Linked DNA regions of Rhinolophus ferrumequinum. The protein of the gene in region 2 interacts with the protein of the main gene of each other region in a biochemical or structural test. Links are inferred from orthologs where the notes say so. Each region holds a gene or a part of one and is shown on either strand. Other genes may lie near its edges.

What was found.
Region 1: the proteins of UBE2D3 (region 2) and RNF7 form a complex in vitro, tested with the Homo sapiens proteins (5 studies listed by BioGRID). The link is inferred for Rhinolophus ferrumequinum from reciprocal best matches to the Homo sapiens genes UBE2D3 and RNF7.

The regions. Positions count from the first base shown.
Region 1 is NC_046300.1:40,075,749-40,085,993, forward strand, and holds the start of RNF7 (RING-box protein 2), read left to right. Parts: upstream 1-5,501; 5' UTR 5,502-5,616; coding exon 5,617-5,791; intron 5,792-9,138; coding exon 9,139-9,186; intron 9,187-10,245. UniProt on the Homo sapiens protein: Catalytic component of multiple cullin-5-RING E3 ubiquitin-protein ligase complexes (ECS complexes), which mediate the ubiquitination and subsequent proteasomal degradation of target proteins.
Region 2 is NC_046288.1:53,687,269-53,697,801, reverse strand, and holds the start of UBE2D3 (ubiquitin-conjugating enzyme E2 D3), read left to right. Parts: upstream 1-5,748; 5' UTR 5,749-5,878; intron 5,879-6,237; exon of another isoform or gene 6,238-6,441; intron 6,442-7,148; 5' UTR 7,149-7,279; coding exon 7,280-7,303; intron 7,304-10,533. UniProt on the Homo sapiens protein: Accepts ubiquitin from the E1 complex and catalyzes its covalent attachment to other proteins. In vitro catalyzes 'Lys-11'-, as well as 'Lys-48'-linked polyubiquitination.

The sequences.
Region 1 (10,245 bases), on a different chromosome or scaffold from region 2:
TAGTTCCTTCCAGTATCAGTGCAAACACTGCCTCCTCTCTTTAACTCTCCCCCACACACCCCAGGCTACCCATATCATGGTTCCTGTTAGCTTACAGTGGGCCTGCAATGGTGAGTTTACCTAAAGTCTTTATGAAGCATGTGCTACCTCTTAAGGGGTAATGATTTACATATGTTTACTCTCTATTGTATGAAGTTGAACTTTTTTTTTTTAATTTATGATTTCCTGTTCATTATTTCACAGGCTAAAACCTGAGTATGGATGTTATCTATTTCCATGGCCAGACATGCCTAGGAAGATATTGCTTGTTCTATAATAAAATTTTTCACTATAACCAGGCCCCTTTCAAGTTCTAAATTTTAACAAGACTATTTTATGAAACTTCCAAGTAGTGTTAATCCTATATCATGCTTGTCATTCTCTAAAATGTGGGTTTCACAAGTAAGCCTTAGTAAAAATAAGTGGAATTCCTCTTGGGGGCTCCTTCTCTTGTGCATATGAAATTTATAATTTGAAGAAAGTCATGATCTTTATCTAAGAAAGAAAGAAAGAATCTGCTTTCATAAATACATCTATAGTTGGGAACAATAGGAATGTTTGGAAATAATAACCACTTTCTAAAAGACAACATCCCCCAAAATGGCGATCTTACCCAAATGAGGAAACTTCTAATCATTTTACCTCGAATGAAGATGTCAGAAAGCTCCATGGGAAATGTAAGAGGTGTTGTTGATCAGTGTATGGATTATAAATTGGATTAGTTGCATTGTATGTGCTGTGACAATATGGTGCATAGGAAAGTATGGGCCAGGAATTAGATAAGTCAGAATTCTCTGTGGAAACATGCTGCTTTCCATGTGTCTGACCTTGAGCAAGTCAGATAACCTCACTGTGCCTCAGTTTCTCCTTATGTAAGATACAGATAAGAATAGCACCTTTCTCATTTGGTGAGCATTGAATGAGGTGACACAGGTCAAGCTTTCTAGGACAATACCTATTTCATAGTACATGCTTAAAAATAAATGTTAGTGGCTACTATTATAGCTGTTATTATTGATGTTAAAGTTGAGTGATTCCAGTTATTTCACTTAGAACAGCTGAACAGGGAAAATACAAAAGAAAAGAAAAAAGACTTAAGACCTTTTTATTATGTTAAAAAAAAAACCCTGTCATTTATTCTATGTACAAATTCTGGCAGGTTCGTGGAACCAAACTCCCTAGAAGTGGGGATGGGTATAGTAAATTATGTCCACTTCTGAGGATCTTAACATCTAGTTAGCAAGCCAAGATCCTCATACATTAAAAGTAAACAACAATAGAGCTTAAGAGTTAAAATAATATACCGTATTTTGCCGTGTATAATGTGCTCCCATGTATAACATGCAACTACATTTTTGGCCCAAAGTATCAGGGGGGAAAATCTTTCATTTTAATTTTTTAATTCAAATTTTTATCTGTTTACATTTAGGTACTTGCTTTTTGTATTATAAAGGAATTTTAGCATTTAGTTTTTAACATATTATGGTACAAGAAATTTTATGTAACAAATAATCACAAAACACAAGAACAGATACAAGGTACAAGAAATTTTATGTACTGGTAACAAATTTACGGTATTTATACATTATAGAAGGCCAAGAACTCTTTATTGTTGCAAGTTTGTTGTAAATTCAACAAAACTGATGATCCTGTTCCAGGGTATTATTTTGCACATGGGTATCATTATTGATTTACAGAGTTACACTTTTAACTCATAAGCATAAATAAAAGAATTAAAACCATTTATTTAAATACGGAATTAGTATTACCCATGTATAATGCGCACCCTTATTTTTCCCTCACAAATTTGGGCAAAAAAGTGTGCATTATACACGACAAAATATGGTAACTTATCTATAGAATTTATATATCCAATGTGTGTGGCTTCCTTAGAAATTGTTACTGCTTAAAAAATAAAATAAAAAATATCTTTTTTGAAATTTTCTACTAACATCTGCTGGGTGGGAATATAAAGTCTGTGTGTCTCTTTAAAGATCTTTTGGCAATGTCTATCAAAATGAAAACCACAGAGCTTTTGACCCAGGCATTTTACTTCCAGAAATTTATATTACAGATGTAGTCTCACACGTGTGCAAGGAAATATGTATAGAGATGTTCACTGCAGCACTGTTTATTAAACATTGAAAACAACTAAATGTCTCTCAAAGGGTTCTCAGTGAAATAAGTCACAGAAAATGTATGTGTTGGAATACTATACAGCTGTTAAAAAGAACAATGTGGATATGTAAGTGCTTATCTGTAAAAATGTCCTAATAATACTATTAAACAAAAAAAGCAGGTTAGAGACTAGCATATATGAAAAATTCATATTAAAGACAACTGATATAATATGAGCCAGAAATTCCAATTCTGGGTATACGTCCAAAAGAATTGAAAACAAGATCATGAAGAGATATTTGTACAGCTGCGTTTGTACAGCATTATTCCCAGTAATCAAACAGTAGAAGCAACCCAAATGTCCATTGGCACATGAGTGGATAAGCAAAATGTGCCATATTAACACAATGGAATATTATTCAGCCTTAAAATGGAAGGAAATCCTTCCTACAATATGGGTGAACCTTGAGGACATTATGCTAAGTGAAATAAACCAGTTACAAAAAGACAACTAGTGTATGATTCCACTTATATAAGGTACCTAAAGTAGTCCAGGTGAGAAGCAGAATGTGAAATGGTGGTTTGCCAAGGGGAGGGAGGAGGGGGAAATGGAGAGTTGTTGAACGGATGTGGAGTTTCAGTTTGGGAAGATGAAAAAGTTCTGGAGGTTGATTGCATAACAATGTGAATGTACTTAATACTATTGACATGTGTACTTTAAAATGGTTAGGATGGTAAACTTTGTTATGTGTATTTTACCACAATTAAAGTTTTAAAAACTTCAGTTGATGTATTGTGTGTCTGCTTGTACATATGTAGAAATTTCTGGAGAGTCTATTAACAGTACTAGCTTTTTTTTATTGCATACTCATTTCACTATTTAATGTTTTTATCATTTATGAACTGTCAATTTAAAAAACTTAAAATGGTTGAATAAACATCAGTAACAGCACTTTTTGGTTGCTATGTCACCTGATGCCAAAAGACTAGAAGAAACACAATTTTGTTATAATTTCCTGGGAGAGCATAATAAATGGTGGGAAAGAATGGTCAGTGAGAACACAAAGATGAGTAAGTTTTTCCTAAATGCAGAGGGCAATTCAGCCAAAGCAGGCAGAGGAAGTTCTGTGTAATTTTAGGGATGTTAAAAGGTGAAGGAAAAAAAAGTCCGGGGTATGTTTAGATGACTGAGCAGACCAATCTGACATGGGCTTCAGGGAGTGCTTGGGAATTACACTAAAAAAGTACATTGGGGCCATATTGTGGCAGGATTTAATGACCAACTGGGTCATTCAGATTCTGTTCAGATGATAATTCAGAGCCATGGAACATTTTGAACAGGGGAGTACCAGGTAGAAAGGGGATATAGGAGAATTAAACAGGCACACTAGATTGAATGCCAGTTAGACTGGGAAGGAGAGACAGGAAGGAAGTCGGACACAATAATCCAGGGGCAGGGTGATGAGGTTCAGACTCAGCATGGGCACGTACCACTCCTCATCTTTAACCATCCTCTAACCTTTCCTCTTTTCACCTGAGTTTCCCTGTGTTTCCCTTTCAAACTGCCCAGTTCCTACCAACTGGGTGCATTTTGTCCTCATTTGGTTTGCAGCCTTCTTCTTGCTTTTTTTAAAATTTTTTTTTAATTAGCTATCTAAGAGCACTTGTAGCCATCTCTAGTCAGATGTGTGGTCACTTAATATGAACAGAACATGTATCGTATATAGTTCATCTGGGTTTGTTTATAGGCATTTTTGTTTGGCTCATAAAGTTAGTGTGTTCAGACTTATATCTGCCGCCACTACCACTGCTCTGCTCCAGCTCATAGATGTTTGCTTTCTTCCTTCATTTTCTGGCCTCCAGGGTCTCCCAATTCCCCCCATTTCAAACTTCACCTCTTTCATGAGGCTTTTCCTCACTGCATCAGTCCTCAGGAATGTCTTTCTCCCTCCCAGCACTTAACACACCACTCAACAAACAGCACACATTAGCATCTAGTCAAATATGACCTTGTGTCCATATTTATATTTGATGTAGTTATGCATCCTTGTCTTTTCTGCCAGGCTCCTTGAGCTTGGTTAGCCCCCACCCAGGTACAAAGCCTGGGGGCACCAGGAGATGAGGGGATGATGGGTGGACCAGTAAAAGCTGAGGCTCAGAATCCCAAACCTGACACAGCAGGTGTCCACCACTAGATGGTGATGGCAATCAGGCATCTCCTTAGGCTCTCTGTGCCTCAGCTTTCTTATCTTTTAAATGGAGGTGTCTGCTTTGCTTGGGAAGACATAATTCTATGACTCTGGGCTAGCAATAGAAGAACCCTGGCTTCAAAACTGTCACCATCACGTAGCAGCTATGTGCTCTTTAAGTTACTTCCCTGGACCTCATTCCTCCCACATATAAAAGGTTAAACCAGAGGTTCTCACAGAGTGGTCCCCAGGATTTCTGGGCTCCTTTCAGAGGTCAAAACTATTCCCATAACAATATTCAGAGCTATTTCTCTTTTCACTCTATGAATGTACAGAGTTTTCCAGAAGCTACATTATTATATGTGATGCCATCGCTCCAATAATAACTCGTAATGGGTTTATTACTGTTATTTTAAAATGGATTAATATATTTAAATTTTTTCATCTTTTAATTTCTTAAAAAACAAATATATACAGAGGGTGCCAAAAAGATGTATACACATTTTAAGGAAAATGTATCAAAATTGTGCTGATGGTAACCACTTTGAGCACCTCTTGTAATTGCAGGTGTCAAACCTAAGACTTGTGTTCATCTTTTGTTAGGTATATATGGAGTATTACAATTTTAATAGTTTTTTCCCTTTCTTAAAATGTGTATACATGTTTTTTTGGCACCTTCTGTATTGTCCACACAACAAGAGCTCTTTAATTTTTAAGTATAAAGGCGTCCTGAGACCAAAACGATTGAGGAACCATTGAACCAGATTTCTAGAAGATCATTAAGGTCATTCACTCAACAAATAACTGGGCCTCCTGTGGCCAGGCATTTCTTTTTTTCTGATAAGGAGGCCAAGGTGACGATAAAGACATGGGCCCTGCTCTGCTGGAGTTTACATTTGGGAGGGACGACAAACGGCTATGTTAAGGAGATAATTTCTGAGAGTAGTAAGTTTCATAACGGCCTAAGGCAGCTCTCACGACAGTAACACCCGACAGCGCGAGGGCCGCCCTCCTGCCGGTGGTGGCCCCTGGGCCCTCAGCCCTCTACGTTGTCCCAGCATGGGGCGGGGGTGGGGACTGCGTCCGAGAGCTGGCGTGTGGTGACGTCACTGCCCCGCGCCAGCCAATCGCGGGCGACCTCTGTCGTAAGCACCGCGGTGGCGGGCGGCCTGCGGGCGGCGCTGTGGCCCGTCGGGCGGCCCGGCAGAGCCGCCATAGCCGCGTGCCTTCCCCTAGCCAACGTCTCCGCCGCCGGCTCCGCGCCGTAGTCATGGCCGACGTGGAAGACGGCGAGGAGCCCTGCGCCCTGTCCTCTCACTCCGGGAGCGCAGGCTCCAAGTCGGGAGGCGACAAAATGTTCTCTCTCAAGAAGTGGAACGCGGTGGCCATGTGGAGCTGGGACGTGGAGTGCGATACGTGCGCCATCTGCAGGGTCCAGGTGATGGGTAAGCGCTGCACGCTAGGCCCGGGCTGCGCTCCGGCCTGCGCGGGTCCGGGTCCGGGACGGGGGACGAGCGAAGGCTCGGAGAGACCCTTACCTGGAGGAGTGGGGGCGGGGATCGCTCTGTCCCGGCCGGTGCTGGGGCGGCCGCCAGGGGCGGTGGGGTCGCTCAACAGACGCACAGTGCCTGGGGCTGGATTTTCGGGGGAGAAACTGGCAGTAAACAGAGGAATTAAACAAGATAATTTCAGGTAGCGATGGGTGTGGCCAAGAAAATACTACTAGGTGGTTTTCTGGGAGCTGGGAGGAACCGCTTTGGTACGTGTAGCCAGTCCCAGCCCTGCGCTAAAAGCAAACCACAAAGAGGTCAGGGTAAAGGTCCTGATTTCGCAGAGCAACTTGAATGGTTCTGGTCACACACCAAAGTGGTGCTCTGGTCATCTTCCACAAAAGCGACACCCTCGGTGCTGCTGTTGAGAGATGCAGGGAAGAAAAGTGTTCCCAGCCATTGCATTCATTTCTGGATTAGCTACGGTTGTGCTGCTGCTGGCCATTAAATCTGTGCGATTCAAGACGGGTCAGACGGCACTCGCCTGGCTTGAAGGAGATTACATGTGGTTCAAAAATATTTAAGTGTCGTGGGAATTGAATAATGTGAGCCGTTTACTCAGAAACAGAATTTCATCCCCTTCCTGGCCCCTCACTCTCATAGCTTGCCATTTCCTGGAGAAGACAACTGCCCTGCGCTGAGTCAGGTCTTTGTGGAGAACCCGCTTTTACAAATATCTTACTTCTTTTTATATTTTGAATAAAAATGTCGGACCAAGTGAAACCTTTGAGAGCAGCTTCATCCCGTTTTTGTCTTATATGGTTTGTTTTAGAGTCTCAGGCCACCTTGAAAAGGAGGCGCTGTTTAAATGCAAGTTGTATATTTAAGTATGGCATTTAAAACTACTGTGAGAGCATCCAAAATGTTGTTTCTTAGGGGTAGATGAAGAAAATTGAGGTTTCTATAGTCTTGAGGTTTCTACTGTCTTGCACTGAAAATGCGAGAATTGGAGAAAATAAATAAAATCGTTGTTCCTTCTTGAGGGATAAAACTTTTAAATTTACCAGAATCAAGAGATTTCTCAATTTATAGTCTCTTTAGTGTGCTGTCTTGTTTTTTATTCATAAGGACCTGTTTCAAAGAGGATTTACAGCAAAATGGAGTTCAGATGTTTTTTGTTTTGTTTTAAAGAGCTTAACTTCAGACATGACTCACTTATTTTGTACATTAGGTTTTTAAAACACCTCGTTTATTGGCCTGCAGTGCAGCCTTCTTATCCCATACCCCACCCATTACTTAGGAATTACAATCATAATTTCCAGTTTGGGTGGCATTTTTAACTTATACAGGTGACTTAATTTTTTTGCTTTTTTGCAAGACTGGCTTTGCTAAAAATTTTGTCCCCTAAATTTCCTTTAGTCTAAAAATGAAGAATGTTTCTAAAAGCGCATTTTCTTCCCCCCCCAAAGAAAACTTTAAAACTAGTAAGTAGAAATGCAGAATTTAATGGTTGAAATCTTGCAGCAAATAAACTTTAACTGGGATATTTAAAGTAAGTCAAAGTATGGGCTATAAATGGCTCCATTCACAGTAACTTTCTAATTATAGCAAGTATTCTGCTACTGTGGATTAATGTTGCAGGTTTACAACAGCTATACTTTGAGTTCAGGGAAGTACTATAGACTAGACCTTTGTATTTTGTTTATGAGGTGTTAAAATCCACTTAGTGGTCAGGTAAACAGCAGAAGGAAATTTTTCAGACTTCCCAATCCTTATCCTACCATTACTCTAAAAGATGTTACTATTACTGCACTCCTTAAAAAAATACTGTTTTAGATACTTTTTTCTTTTATCTGAAACTTTGGGAATTTTTGTCAGTTTAGGTCAGTTTTTTATCATGAGTCTAAATCAAAGCTATAAGCATAAATCAGAGATTTCTAGATTCTACAAAAAAAGCCCACTTAACCCATTTCCTTAATACTTGGAATTCATCTCATATGCCTAAATGATTTATTATGACTTCTTGATCCAAGATTTGTCTGTCTACCCGTTTTGATGTTAACACTCTCCTCCTTGGTTTCCACTCTCCTCCCTTCATTCTGAAATGAGCAGATGGCACAGGGAAACCAGGGACCAGACTTGGTCATTTTAGTGTCATGCCCCCGTGCATAACTCCTTGCACAGAGTAGATCCTCAGTAATTGTGGAATTGAAGAAAGTCTTAGGAGGCAGTAGTTGTTTTTAATCCACACTGAAGAGGCCTGGGTGGTGTGTTTTTTTAGGGTAAAGGCATGCAGGGAGAAGCAAACAAATGGCCTGTGCATAATCCAGTGTAAGAAGAGAAGCAGGCTTCAGCTCCACCGTGTGTCTATTTTTACAGAATTAGTTTCTCCAGTTTATGTTAAAAACTTTTTTTCTGTTGGTTTGAACTTCCTTTTACCCAAGTTTGACTCCTCTTCCAGCTAGTGAATAAATCCATTCATTAGTCCCTGGCATATTGTATATTAACCTCCTTCATCAAGCAAATAGTACAGAGTGAATTTTGAAAATTTCTAATTATACCCTTTAGGTTCCCATTCCTAGTATTTACTCCCACATAATTTGTTAAAAAACCTTTGCCATTGTTGGATAAATGCTTTGGGCTCAGACTTATTTGTAAAGGGAGTATTTTCGTAAAATAAAAATAAAAATAAAAAGAGAACCTAGTATTTAGAAGGTATTTTTAATTAATTTAATTCATTTTAATTTGATTGCATAGATTATACAGTCACATCATTCAAAAATTTAAGAAAATGTACAATGAAAACTCCTTCCCATTCTATCCTCTCCCAAGTAAACTTTATTATTGGTTTCTTGTATCCTTCTAGAGTTTCTTTATGTATGTACAAGCAAATACCAATATATATATACATGGCTTATTTAAAAGGGTGTCTTCAAAATAAACTGCCCCTAGGTGTTGTTCTATGTGAGCATGCCCAGTGAGCTTATAATAACTAATAATAGAGTGGAGGATGGCATATTTTTCTCTAGTGGTTGCATCCACTGTCAGGACATCTTTTCATTAGAGTTTATAAAAATAGAGGGTCGGTAACCCTTGTGAAATTGCTCCTGATCATGAATAAACTAGTAAAGTGCCTTGTACTTTATTCACCTTTAAACAGTACGTTCAGACAAGAAATTAATAGTATGAGTCTTTTAGCTCCATCTCTAACCCTTTGGGCTCTTATTTGACTTTAAAGTGTCTGGGTTTTAAAAATTGCATTCTGAGCATCAGAATGAGAATTGCTATTTGTTTACTTTTAGATGCCTGTCTTAGATGTCAAGCTGAAAACAAACAAGAGGATTGTGTTGGTATGTTGTCATTTCGTACTCTTGCTTTTTCAACTGAAGGTTTTCTCTCAGTGGGGATGTTTGAATTTGCTGTTAAGATTGACTTTATCAATACACGAAAATAAACTGTAAAGCAGTGATCCATTATTAATATAAAATGTGTTAGTTCTCAAAAGGCCTTAATGGAATTAATCTGCAAGTTCTTTTATTATCTGTAATTAAGAAGAATTGGTTATATGTTCCAGACATGGGCATAGTAAATATTTTGATAATCAAAAAAAATAAATAATTCCTTTCTATTAAAATTATACAATAAGGAATTTGCCAAAACATTTAAATTCTGACTATGTTTATAGGTAGGTCAGTTTTGGTAGTGTTTTATTCTAATAAAGCATTTCAGTTTTCAGTATTCTTTTGTGATATAGTATTTAACTTTTTAACTAAGATAGAAAAAATTCTAAGTCTCAAGAACTTCGGGGAATGTAGTTTGTATATAGAAATCTATTAAATTTTCCTTATAGTCTGGGACTACCAAGATTCTCTTAGGCTAAATGTTTTAAACAATTCAAAGGTTTTCATGTCCTCGTACTTGAAATCATCACTTCTAGATTGCTGTATGAAAGTGTTTAAACATTTTCCTAGAATGAATGGTGAACTTATACTTTGCGTTTTTGTGGTTTACATAACAGCTTCCTAATAATGATTTATGTCATTTTGATCAAATCCTGTTTCTTCCTCCTGAAACATTAGAATGATTCCCCCTTGCTTTTTACCCCCTATAGTCAATGTTCATAAGTTTTTTTTCTTTTCTCTCTTTTTCCTGTGTCTTTCATTATTCTGTTATCATATAGCTCAGTTGGTCAAGCAAGGGACAAATGAAGCCTATGTCTGAGATTGCATTCCAGATTGTGGATGATTTCCCTCAGTTTAAAATTTTTCTTTCATGCTGTTTAAAAAATATTAATTTGAGAATTGTGAGGGGTAAGCCGGCTTTCTTTGATCACAGAGAGACTTCTCTTTCCAGCCAGCCACTTTGAAAATTTCATTCTGTTTGTCACATGAGGAGTTGCACTGCTTATT
Region 2 (10,533 bases):
TACAAAGATGCTGTATCTCATTTATCATCAGTAACCTGAATAGTATTATGAGATATTGAAAATATTTAGTAACAAGCTTCCAGGCCAATTTCACATTTTAGTTCTAATATTTTTAATGTACATTGAGATAATTCACATACTATAGCATTCACTTTTAAAGTGTATTAATACAATTCAGGGGGTTTTAGTATATTGATATACTAAACCATTACGATCATCTAATTTTAGAACATTTCATCACCTCCATCAAAAAGACCTATACTCATTAGCAGTCATTCCCCATTTCTCCTACCCCTGGTCCCTGGCAATCAAGAGTCTATTTTCTGCCTCTATGGGTTTCCCTATTCCAGTCATGTCATATATAAATGGAATCATACAATGGGTGGCCTTTTGTGTCTAGCTTTTTCACTTTGCAGAATACTTTCAAGCTTTAAGATACATGTTGTAGCATGTATCAGTATTGTGTTCCTTCTTATTAACTAATACAATTCCATTATATGGATATACCACATTTTATTTATCCATTTATCAGCTGATATTTGGTTGTTTCTACTTTTTGGCTATTATGAATAATGCTACTCTGAACATTCATGTATACAAGGTTTTATGTGGAAAATATTCAACTTTATTTTTAGCTCATTTTTGCATGGTTCATTATATGCCAAAACCCATCTTAATTTAAGGTTAATTGATGTGCTTAGCATGAAAGTTTCCCAAACTACATTACTTTGTATTGATCATAAAAATGAGATTATGAACTGGTAAGATAGAAACTCATTTGATTTTTATGCAAACCATATGAAATAACCTTTCATTGACTTGGGCTCTAATTTACCTATTCCAACCAGAATATGTCAACGTGCATTCTGGATATAAAATCTGGACCATAGCATTTACAATTTAACCAATAAAATGGCATACACTGTGTTAGAGACAGTGTCCTTAGCAAGTTATAAAATTCTGTGAGACAGTTACAAAGATCTGAAAACATAGATACATTAAACATTACTAATCTATGTTAACTATATTCACAAATATATCTTTATTAACCCTTGTACTCAAGTTATTATTATGTGGCTACACTGATGCATTCACATAATATTAGACTTTGGCACACCTTCATTATTTGGATTAGTTTTATCATTGCCACTTTTATACTAATTTTTTTGATCCTTTATATGTTTCTCAAGTTTTATGCCAATTCATGTAAGATAATCTGATCTACCATAATTAGGAAGTTTTTGAGACTTCAATATAATATTCATTAAGGATGAAATTGTTTTTAGTGCATCTTTTCAACATTTTATACCTGCATTAATTTTTAAATGTAATTGTTTCTTTCAATACATAAAACCATAATCTTTTTAGTACATTGCAAACTGCAATTTTTTTTTTTTTTAAGATTTTATCGGGGAAGGGGGGAACAGGACTTTATTGGGGAACAGTGTGTACTTCCAGGATTTTTTCGAAGTCGTCGTCCTTTCAATCGTAGTTGTGGAGGGCGCAGTTCAGCTCCAGGTCCAGTTGCTGCTGTTAGTTGCAGGGGGCGCAGCCCACCATCCCTTGCGGGCATCGAACCAGCAACCTTGTGGTTGAGAGCCCACTGGCCCACGTGGGAATTGAACCGGGAGCCTTTGGCATTAGGAGCACAGAGCTCCAACCACCTGAGCCACCAGTGTGCCCACAAACTGCAGTATTTTTAAAAATGGTATTTTCCTTTCCTTTTTCAGATGGAAACATTTCAGTACCAGTATTAGTCAAATAAGTCAAGTGAATAAAGTCAGCTTTATTTGAAATTAAAAGTGGGCTCTCTCTAACACTACAAATGCAAATAGTATTTTAAGGTTTGAGTGAATACTAGACTACCTCAAGCCTCAAAATGCTTTCAAGCCATGTTTAGTTTTAACCTTAGCAAGACTGAGTAGAAACGTTAAGTTTGCTAGTGTAAATACAAACGGCATAATCAACCAATAAATTTACTTCATTCCCAAATAAATTGGGATTACACAATGGATAATCTAGAACTTCATATATTAGGATTTATTCATGTCATCATTTGTTGTATGAAATCTTGATAGTGGTCAATTAAAAAAACAGTGGCACCATTATAAAACAAAGTTTAATTTCAGATGCATGCTTGTAGGGCAGGGAAGGGCATGAGTGAATATCTTCATCTTCTAAGCAAAACTCCATTACAACAAAACTTCCTGTGGAACAATTTTCGAGCCCCAACTGGTAGCCTACTTATTTAAAGGTGGTGCTGAAGATAAGCAATAACTCTACAAAGGGAGAATTTAGAACATTCCTTTTAGTCACTGGATGGAATTTGACTTGGAATACTAAGAAATGCATAAATTTATGAGGTTGTTAATATGTATTTGCTGTACTAGTGGGCAAATTAATGTTGGCTAATAGTCGAAAGGCTAAAAAGTCAAACAGCTTAGTGGTTAAGAGTGTGAATCTTGAGGTCACGCTGCCTAGATTTAAATCCTGGCTCTACTTAATAATTATATGACCTTGAGTATTTCATCTGTATAATGGGGATTTGATGAGATAATGAATTAAAGGACTCAGCATATAGTACTTCAAATAATAATTATTAACACTTATTTTTAAGACTTTTTAATATATAGTATTTTAATTTCTTTCATCCTTGGTTATTTTCATTTTACAATTCTTCCACCACATCTTATTTGTAAAGATGAGTAATAAATAAGAGTGATATAGTAAAACCTAAGTTATCTAGAATGCATAGGAAATGAATCATTCTGGATAGTAAATTTTTCATAGGGTAACTTCATAGGCATCAAAATAACAAAAAAGTCAACAAATGGGATAAAACTATTTCCTAAACCTATTACACACTTCCATGCCTTCTTAAGGAGAGTATACTGGTGGTAAACTTTTTCTTGATGAATCACGATTGCTATGAATATCAATTACAATTCTATGTAATTCTGTGCTTATTCCAACAGGAATAAGCCTTAGGACTGACTCTACCTAAGGTTTTTCAAATATGTAGTTCATGGATAGAAATCAGGGTGTGAACTTGGATGTGAAAAAATAAATTTTTTATTTTTACTAATGTCTAAAAACTAGCATTTCCTTCCATTTTGAATGTAAGCAACAAACAGTTGTACCTATGTCTCTGTCACCAACAGAACTCATAGATACTTTATACTACAACTTTTGCAAACTCTAGAAATGTTTATGTTCATCACTATTTCAAAAATTTGGTCTTTACTAGACCCATCATTTGATCTTACTGTGTTAATAAACCACATATATTCCTATATCAAAAATTTGTTTTTCTTTAATATTTTGAGACTCTATTTCCAAATGTTTTCTTTTATAATGGGTATGAATTTTACATTATACATTTAAAAACATTATTTTGAGAAGAGTCCATGGCTTCACCAGACTGCCAAAGTAGTTTGTGGCACCAAAAAAATTAAGAACTCTCATTTAAAATCTGTCCCAGTCTGCTGTGCTCTGTTAATTCAGTGCCTTAACACGTGCCATTAAACTTTCATACTGAAGCTTATTTAAATTAGGGTAATACAAATTGGCTTCTCCAGGACTTTCATGGGCCTCTTGGATATTTTGAGTTCCCTTTGGGTAGGTAGGAATGTTTCCTACCACCCTTGAACCTTGGCTTCTGAAAGAACAAAACTATTACAAAGGGAGAAATTAGTCAAAATTAGATTAAGATGGCATTGAAAGTAGAAACATAAAACATCTTACTTTCTAAATTAAGAGACAATATGAAACTCCATTCAATACATACTCTGAAGTTAATTACTTGGTTTCAAATTCTACTTCTGCCATTTATTAGCTGTGTGGCCTAGGGACAGTAACTTAATCTCGCCATGCATCAGTTTCTTTATTTGTAAAGGGGGTTAACAAGCACAGTACCTGGTACATGACAAGTGTTCCATAAATATTACCTATATTAATATTCTTACAGATTTGTTTCACAATATGGCCAGTTAACGTCTGACAGATTAGTTTAATAACTTACATTTATACAGCACTTTATTCTACAGTGCCCTTTCACATACATTATGACATCTGAACCACATAATAACCCTGTGAGAAAGGACAGCTATTATTATGCCTTCTTTAGTGTTGAAGAAACTTAGAAAGTACCATATCACACAACTGGGAATAGAGCTAGAAGTCAAACCTGGATTTCTCCCTCCACTCCAGTCACCTAACCTGTGTTTCTACTATATTAGACCAGTTAAAAGAAAGAACAAAGCAAAGATGGTGGGGTGGGGGGAAGTGGGCAAAGGTGTCCTGTACACCATGAGGTGAGCACTTTAGTGCTTTGCTACTCTCACACAGGTCTTCTGTATAATCTTTATTAGAAATGTTTATTAGAATCTCAGGCTCTACCCCAGACTACTAAATCAAAATCCGCATTTTGAACAAAATCTCTAGGTGATTCGTATAGATACTAGTTTGAGAAGCACTGTTTCAGTAATTGCTCTAGTGACACTAGTATGGTCACTAGAACTGTATACCGGGGTACCAAAAAAATGTATGCAAATAGACACTTGGGTCAATGATGCTCAAGCAGTAGTTCACTGTAACCAGAAGTGTCTGGACGCTCATTGATGGTAACCATTTTGAGCACCTCTTGTAATTGCAAAAGTCAAATGTGACTTGTATTCATCTTTTGTTATCGGTATATTGAGTATTACAATTTTAATACAGCTTTCCTTTCTTTAAATGTGTTTACATTTTTTTGGCATCCTCTGTATATTAGCTCATTTATCACAACCTATGAAGTTTTAATTAGGTAATATTTCTTGTAACAGGAAATAACTTGCTGCTTTCCTATTTTAAAGTGTGTTTTTAAAAGAAGTTTGTATTTCATTTAATTCTTAGAGATCTCCACTTCGGTAAGTAGGGTCATTAAGTAATATTAGAAAACTTTAAGCTTCCTTTTAAAAATTAATGTCTTACTAACCTTTGCCCGAAGAAAACACTAGAGAGCAAAACCATCCTCTCCCATACTTCACAACAGGCAGATCAAAACAGGCCAATCTTATCCTTGTATTTCTTCCCCTGGATGTTTCAGTATTAAGTTTTTCTGACCCAAAACTTTGATTTATTGTTTGAGTTTCACAATGTTGTGGCTCTAGGAATGGACACATATCAACAGGAAGAAAAAGGTATTAAGTTTATTCCCATATTTAAACCATGGCGGATGGTGGAGTTGATTACAGGGACCAGTGAACAGCCCACCCCTATCTCCCTATCCTCCATTCTAATCAATTTAGTTGATCTGGATTCCTAAACTGCTCTGCTGGGAGCCGGTCTATGGGCCCGCTCTTCTCAGCATTTATCCTGTAGGGTCAACAATACACTAGATTCGGCAGGTAGGGTCGCTGATCAGCTGTCCGCTAGATTCTATTTTAAATTACTGTTCCCATTTTGAGGGGCGCCTCCTCCCTCTGGTTAACCAGCCCAGACCGGTAGGCGAGTAAAAGTCGCTCACCTGCTTCACCGGAAACTTCAAAAGCCCGGGTCAACCCGGACTAAAGGTATCTAGTAATTAATCCATGGTACCTCCCACCGCACATTCCTGATTGGGCGCGTGAGAGAGGGATGTGTCGGCGCGCGCTCTTACCAGTCCGGGGAATTCCATTTCCTCTCCCTCCCACCAGCATAAGCATTCAGGGGCGGTGCTTCCCCGGCGACCGACCGTCCCAGCCCCAGCCGGTGCCTCACTGCATCTCGCGAGAACTTGTGGTTTGAGGGCGGGCCCCGATCAGGAAAAGCGCACAAAACTGCCCTTAAATCATTGCAGACCTACAGCTCCTGTGAGCCAGCCACGAGGTTCTCGCGAGATCCGCCTCCTCAATACCAAGTGAGGAAATTGGGGGATGCTGCTGGGAGGGGCGTGGGGTCGGCCGCGCAGCTGCCGTTTCCATTACCTTCCTCCCATGGTCTCCTTCCGGTTCTCGATGCTTCTCTGAGTCTAAGGGTTTCCGCCGCTCGTCTACCCTTCCCCCCAGCCCATGACCCGCCTCCGGCCCCCGCCCTCCCTGTCCAACCTCCGATCTGTTTAGTAAGAGGGTGCTGTTCTAAAAAGAAAAAAAAGGGGGTAGCACACACTCAGTTCTGGACTTCGGCAGTAAACCGTCCCCCTGCATCCTTAGATTCGTCCTGTGCTCGCGACGGCGGCGTTGGCGGACTGATACGCGGCGGTGAAGAGGCAGGAGGAGGGGGGAGGGGCGGAGCGTGGCAGCTGGCAGTAGTTCCGTCAGAGCGGACATCTTGTGGCTGTGTCGTGCGCGTGAGCCCCGTAGGGCCGGGGAGGCACCAGCTGCCGCGCGGGGAGGAGGCCGAGGCCGCAGCTTGAGGGAGGCCCCGGCCCCTCAGTACGCGTGGGTGTGGAAGGGAAGGGTGGCTGGCCCAGTGGCCGGCCGGGTAAGAGGGGAAACACAGGCCCTGGGTGGCTTGAGTGACCAGCCTGTTGGGTGGGGTAGGGTGGGAAGGCTGGAGAAGCCGGGGCCTCTTTTGCTTAAGGGGGAGGGGGAATGGGCGCGTCCTCGCGCCTAAGTCGGAGCCTCAGGGGCCGCACGGGCGCGTGGTGGCGGTGGCTGGGCGGGCGCGCGCGGGAGCGCGCTGGAAGGCGGAGTGTACAGTGGCGTCAGGGGCGACACAGAATAGCTTAGGTGCGGGGACAGCGACAGACATCCAGCTTCTCTTTATTTCCTTTCCCTTCCTGGCCGCACCTTTGAGTAGAAACCGAAAGAAGCCTGGCGTCAGTCCGGAGCCTCCTGCTGCCCCCTCCCCCTAGCCTTTCTTTGCCCTAGTGACGCGGGCATAGCGCCGACTAGGCCCCGGCTCCTCCTCTGCTGGGCTCCGGACCCTGCCCCGCACCCACCCCTTTCTCCTACGCCTCTTCCTCTCCCACCCGGGTCTCTTCCTTTCGAGAGGCCGGGAAGTCAAACTTGTAGCCACCCCTCCGCTCTTCCTGTCACTCTCGCCCCCTCTTCGGGCCGAAGCTCGGCATAGAGGCTGTTGCCACGCCACCCCACCCACCCCGGATCGCGGCCGTTTTAAGGGACCTGGATTCATCGGGGTCTCTCCGGGGCCTGTTCGAGTGCTGATCTGCTCCGTTTTTGCAAAAGGCGCCTGTGTCTGGCAGAGCCGGTGTGAGACGAAGAGACAATCCTTCCCTTCCGCCGGGATAATCAAGAGTTTTGGCCGGACCTTTGAGCACACACCAAGATAGTGAGGAGCCAGACGCAAAGCACAGACTATGGCGCTGAAACGGATTAATAAGGTAACCTATGGAGCTGGAGGGGACGGGGTCGTGGGAGGAAAGCAAGGCTCAGGCCCGGAGGAAGCATGAGGTGGAGGAAGTATAATTACGAAAATATCCTTCCTTGCGTCGTTCCTTCCATTGGGGGATGGGGAACGGGGGTATAGTTATGAAGGTTTATGAGGTTTAAAGGTAGGGAACGGAATACTCGTGGCAAGTGGGGTGTTATCTTTAGTATGTTTCAGCGGAATCTGCAAATTCGGGATTGGGGAGAGTGATTTCAGGCGCTTGGATTCTGCCTCTAAAGGAAGAGTTAGTCCTCTGTCGGGGGGTCAGAATTGAGGAGAGACGCACCGGCAGATGTCATGGCGTTTCCTATTCTCGGTACCTGAAAACTTATTTTAGTTGTAAGATCAAGGCTCTAGGCTTTGTAGGGGGAAGAAAGTAGGAAGCTCCGCGGAGAAAAAGGATCAGAAATCCAGCGGGTCCCGAACTTTGTTAGGGGTCGGGGTAGAAGTCTTCTGCCAGCGGAAGAGTAGTGAATGAGTCTAATTAGAAACTCTTTATCACTGCGCGGGTTACACAAGAATAAGTGGGGTTGGGAGGAGATGGGCTGACACAATGTTACTACTTCCTACGGGTCAGACTTCTCACCCGAAACTATTAGGAGCACACCGGGAACTGATGTAAAAAGCCTTCTGGAAGCTCCCTTTCTCTTTGGGCTTGTGGGGGGTGGGGGGAGGGTGCGATGGCAGTAAGCTGTGGTTAGGTGTACCTATTTATGCCTCGGCCCATTTAATAACACCCTCCGGGAAGATTGTTGCACTGCTTAAAACGTGGTTTGATGCTAAACTATCGATCTAAGTTGGGGGGAGGGGGAGGATTTTTCGAGTCGGGGTGAGCGGAACCTCCACCTCCGGTGGTTTAGTCTCATTTTCTTGCTCTTAACTTCTATCCCGCATTTTAAGATGGCGGCTGCTTTAACTGGTTCAGGCTCTTTCCGGCATCTCCTTTCGTAATAATGAAATAATATTCTTTGTTAAATGTTAACTTTTACATTAGGTCGTATACTGCTCTAAGACCTCCTGCTCAAGATTTAACTATATTCAAACTCTCAGACCATATTTCCCCTTTTTTGTAACTTGTGTATGTGTGGTGTGTTCGGTTCTTGCACAATCGAGGAGGGTGGAGTATTTACAGCTAACTTGAAAAAAATGTCATGGAATAAATTCAGCCTTACTAAAACTAGGAGACCGGAGGTTGTAGGTTAGAATCTTTCGTTTTGATAGGTTACTTTTTTAAAGAGTTCTACATGGAAGGAATGGCAAGGACTTGGCCTTACTTATGATGGCGGCTTAATTCTCTATTTAATACGTGTGACTTTGGTGTTTATTTGGCAAAACTGGTCTTTTATGAAAGATGAATGTTTAGGTCTTTACTCAGTGTATTGATGCTGAAATCTTAGATTTTGTTTTAGACCATTGCATTGTCATTGTGGGTTTATGTGAAATACAAGTTTAAATCTTTGTATATTTGAGGAGATGGAAAAGGAGAGGAAGTTAAACTTTTTAGGAGTTAAGACTTAAAGTAAAAAGGATTATTTATAAACACCCCCTTTTTTTGACCCTTTGAAGGCCAGAAACACATTGGAGAAGCATAGTTATGTTTTACAGCATAGTTAATACAAAGAAAGTAATATTTAGTACAAATCAAAACCTTTTTATGGGAATTTAGGCCACTAAGGTGTGGAATAATTTCAAATCCTTAGCTTTTTATGCATGTGGAATAGAACACTTTAAAGGGAAGTCTCACTGATTTTTTTTCTTTTACAGGTGATAACCAGCTGCTGTGACACCACTTTAATGATTTAAAAGCTCTAGAAGGGCAATATAATGGTTAAGAGTGTGAACTTTAGAGTAAAAATGATCCAGTTAGAATTGTTGGACTGGGCAAGCTATCTGTGTGCTTCTATAAAATGAATATTTGTTTTATATGAACAATAAATAGTTGAATGCCTAGTATATACTGGTTGCTATTTTAGACACTAGGGATGCAGCAGTGAGCAAAACAAATTTTAGATTTCTAGATTTTTTTATTTTAAGGATTAAATTGGTTAATATGTGGTTTTGAACAGGTCCCTGGCATACAGACTTGACATAATGACTTTCCAACATTGGGACTTTATTGATTTAACCTATAGAAAAGTTTTGGCATGTACGTAGTTTGCTTTTAAAGAGTTACTGTCATAATCACAGTGAAACTTAAAAACAAAAACAAAAAATCCCAGATTCAAACAACTTATGGGAGATGCTCTTTATTTTAGGCACCCTGTTCTAGAAATATGAGGTCAAGTAGGCATTGATGTTAGTATGGTATTTCTTGTGTCATGTACCTGTTTATTTTAATTCTCACCTGAAGTCCTCGAATTCCAAATATTAAGATGTATCTGTATTTCTCACTTAATGAAATGCTTATTGTTGGGATATCTAACCATTGGTAGTTCGTTTAATCAAGCCTTTGAATTTGCTTTTTTCCAAAGCTTGAGTTCTTATTTCTTGTTTGTTTGAATATTTCTTAGACCAAGCAACCTTATCAAACAACCTTATTTTTTGTTTTTTTGCTATATTCTTTATTTGGAACAAGCTGTACTATGGTCTTATAGGGCTATTTATTAAATAACTATAATCAAAAAGGGGAACTCCAAATTGATTGGTGGTGTTTGGGAGTCAGACAGTTTTACTACTCCCATTAAAATAACTACAGTGCATGTGTTTTTGGGAAGTTTAAAGAGAATTTTACATAAAATATAATGTGAACCAAGCCTAAAAGGACAATAGCTCATGCTTTGAGTATTTGCAACATGTCAGAAATGTTTGAAACACTTACATTAAGTCATTTAATCTTAACCCAAGGAAGTAGGTACAGTTTATTGTCCTCATTTTGAGATTAGAAACTTTGAGACAGAAGTTAAAACCACCCAGCAGTGTACTGTGGCAGAGTTGGGATTAGAACCTAGGCAGTCTGGCTCCACAGTGTGTGCTCTTAACCACTACCCTGTCATGTCATGCTTTAGGTTTTTGGTATTCAGAAAAGTTTTCTTTTGCAAGTATCATTCTGCTATTAATAATAGCTACATCTTAGCATCTACTGGGTCGTAAACACTGCTTCTAAACTCTTTGAGTATAAACTCAATTCCCACAACAATCTTGGGATAGATGCTCTTACCACTACATTGTATGCAAGAGAAAACA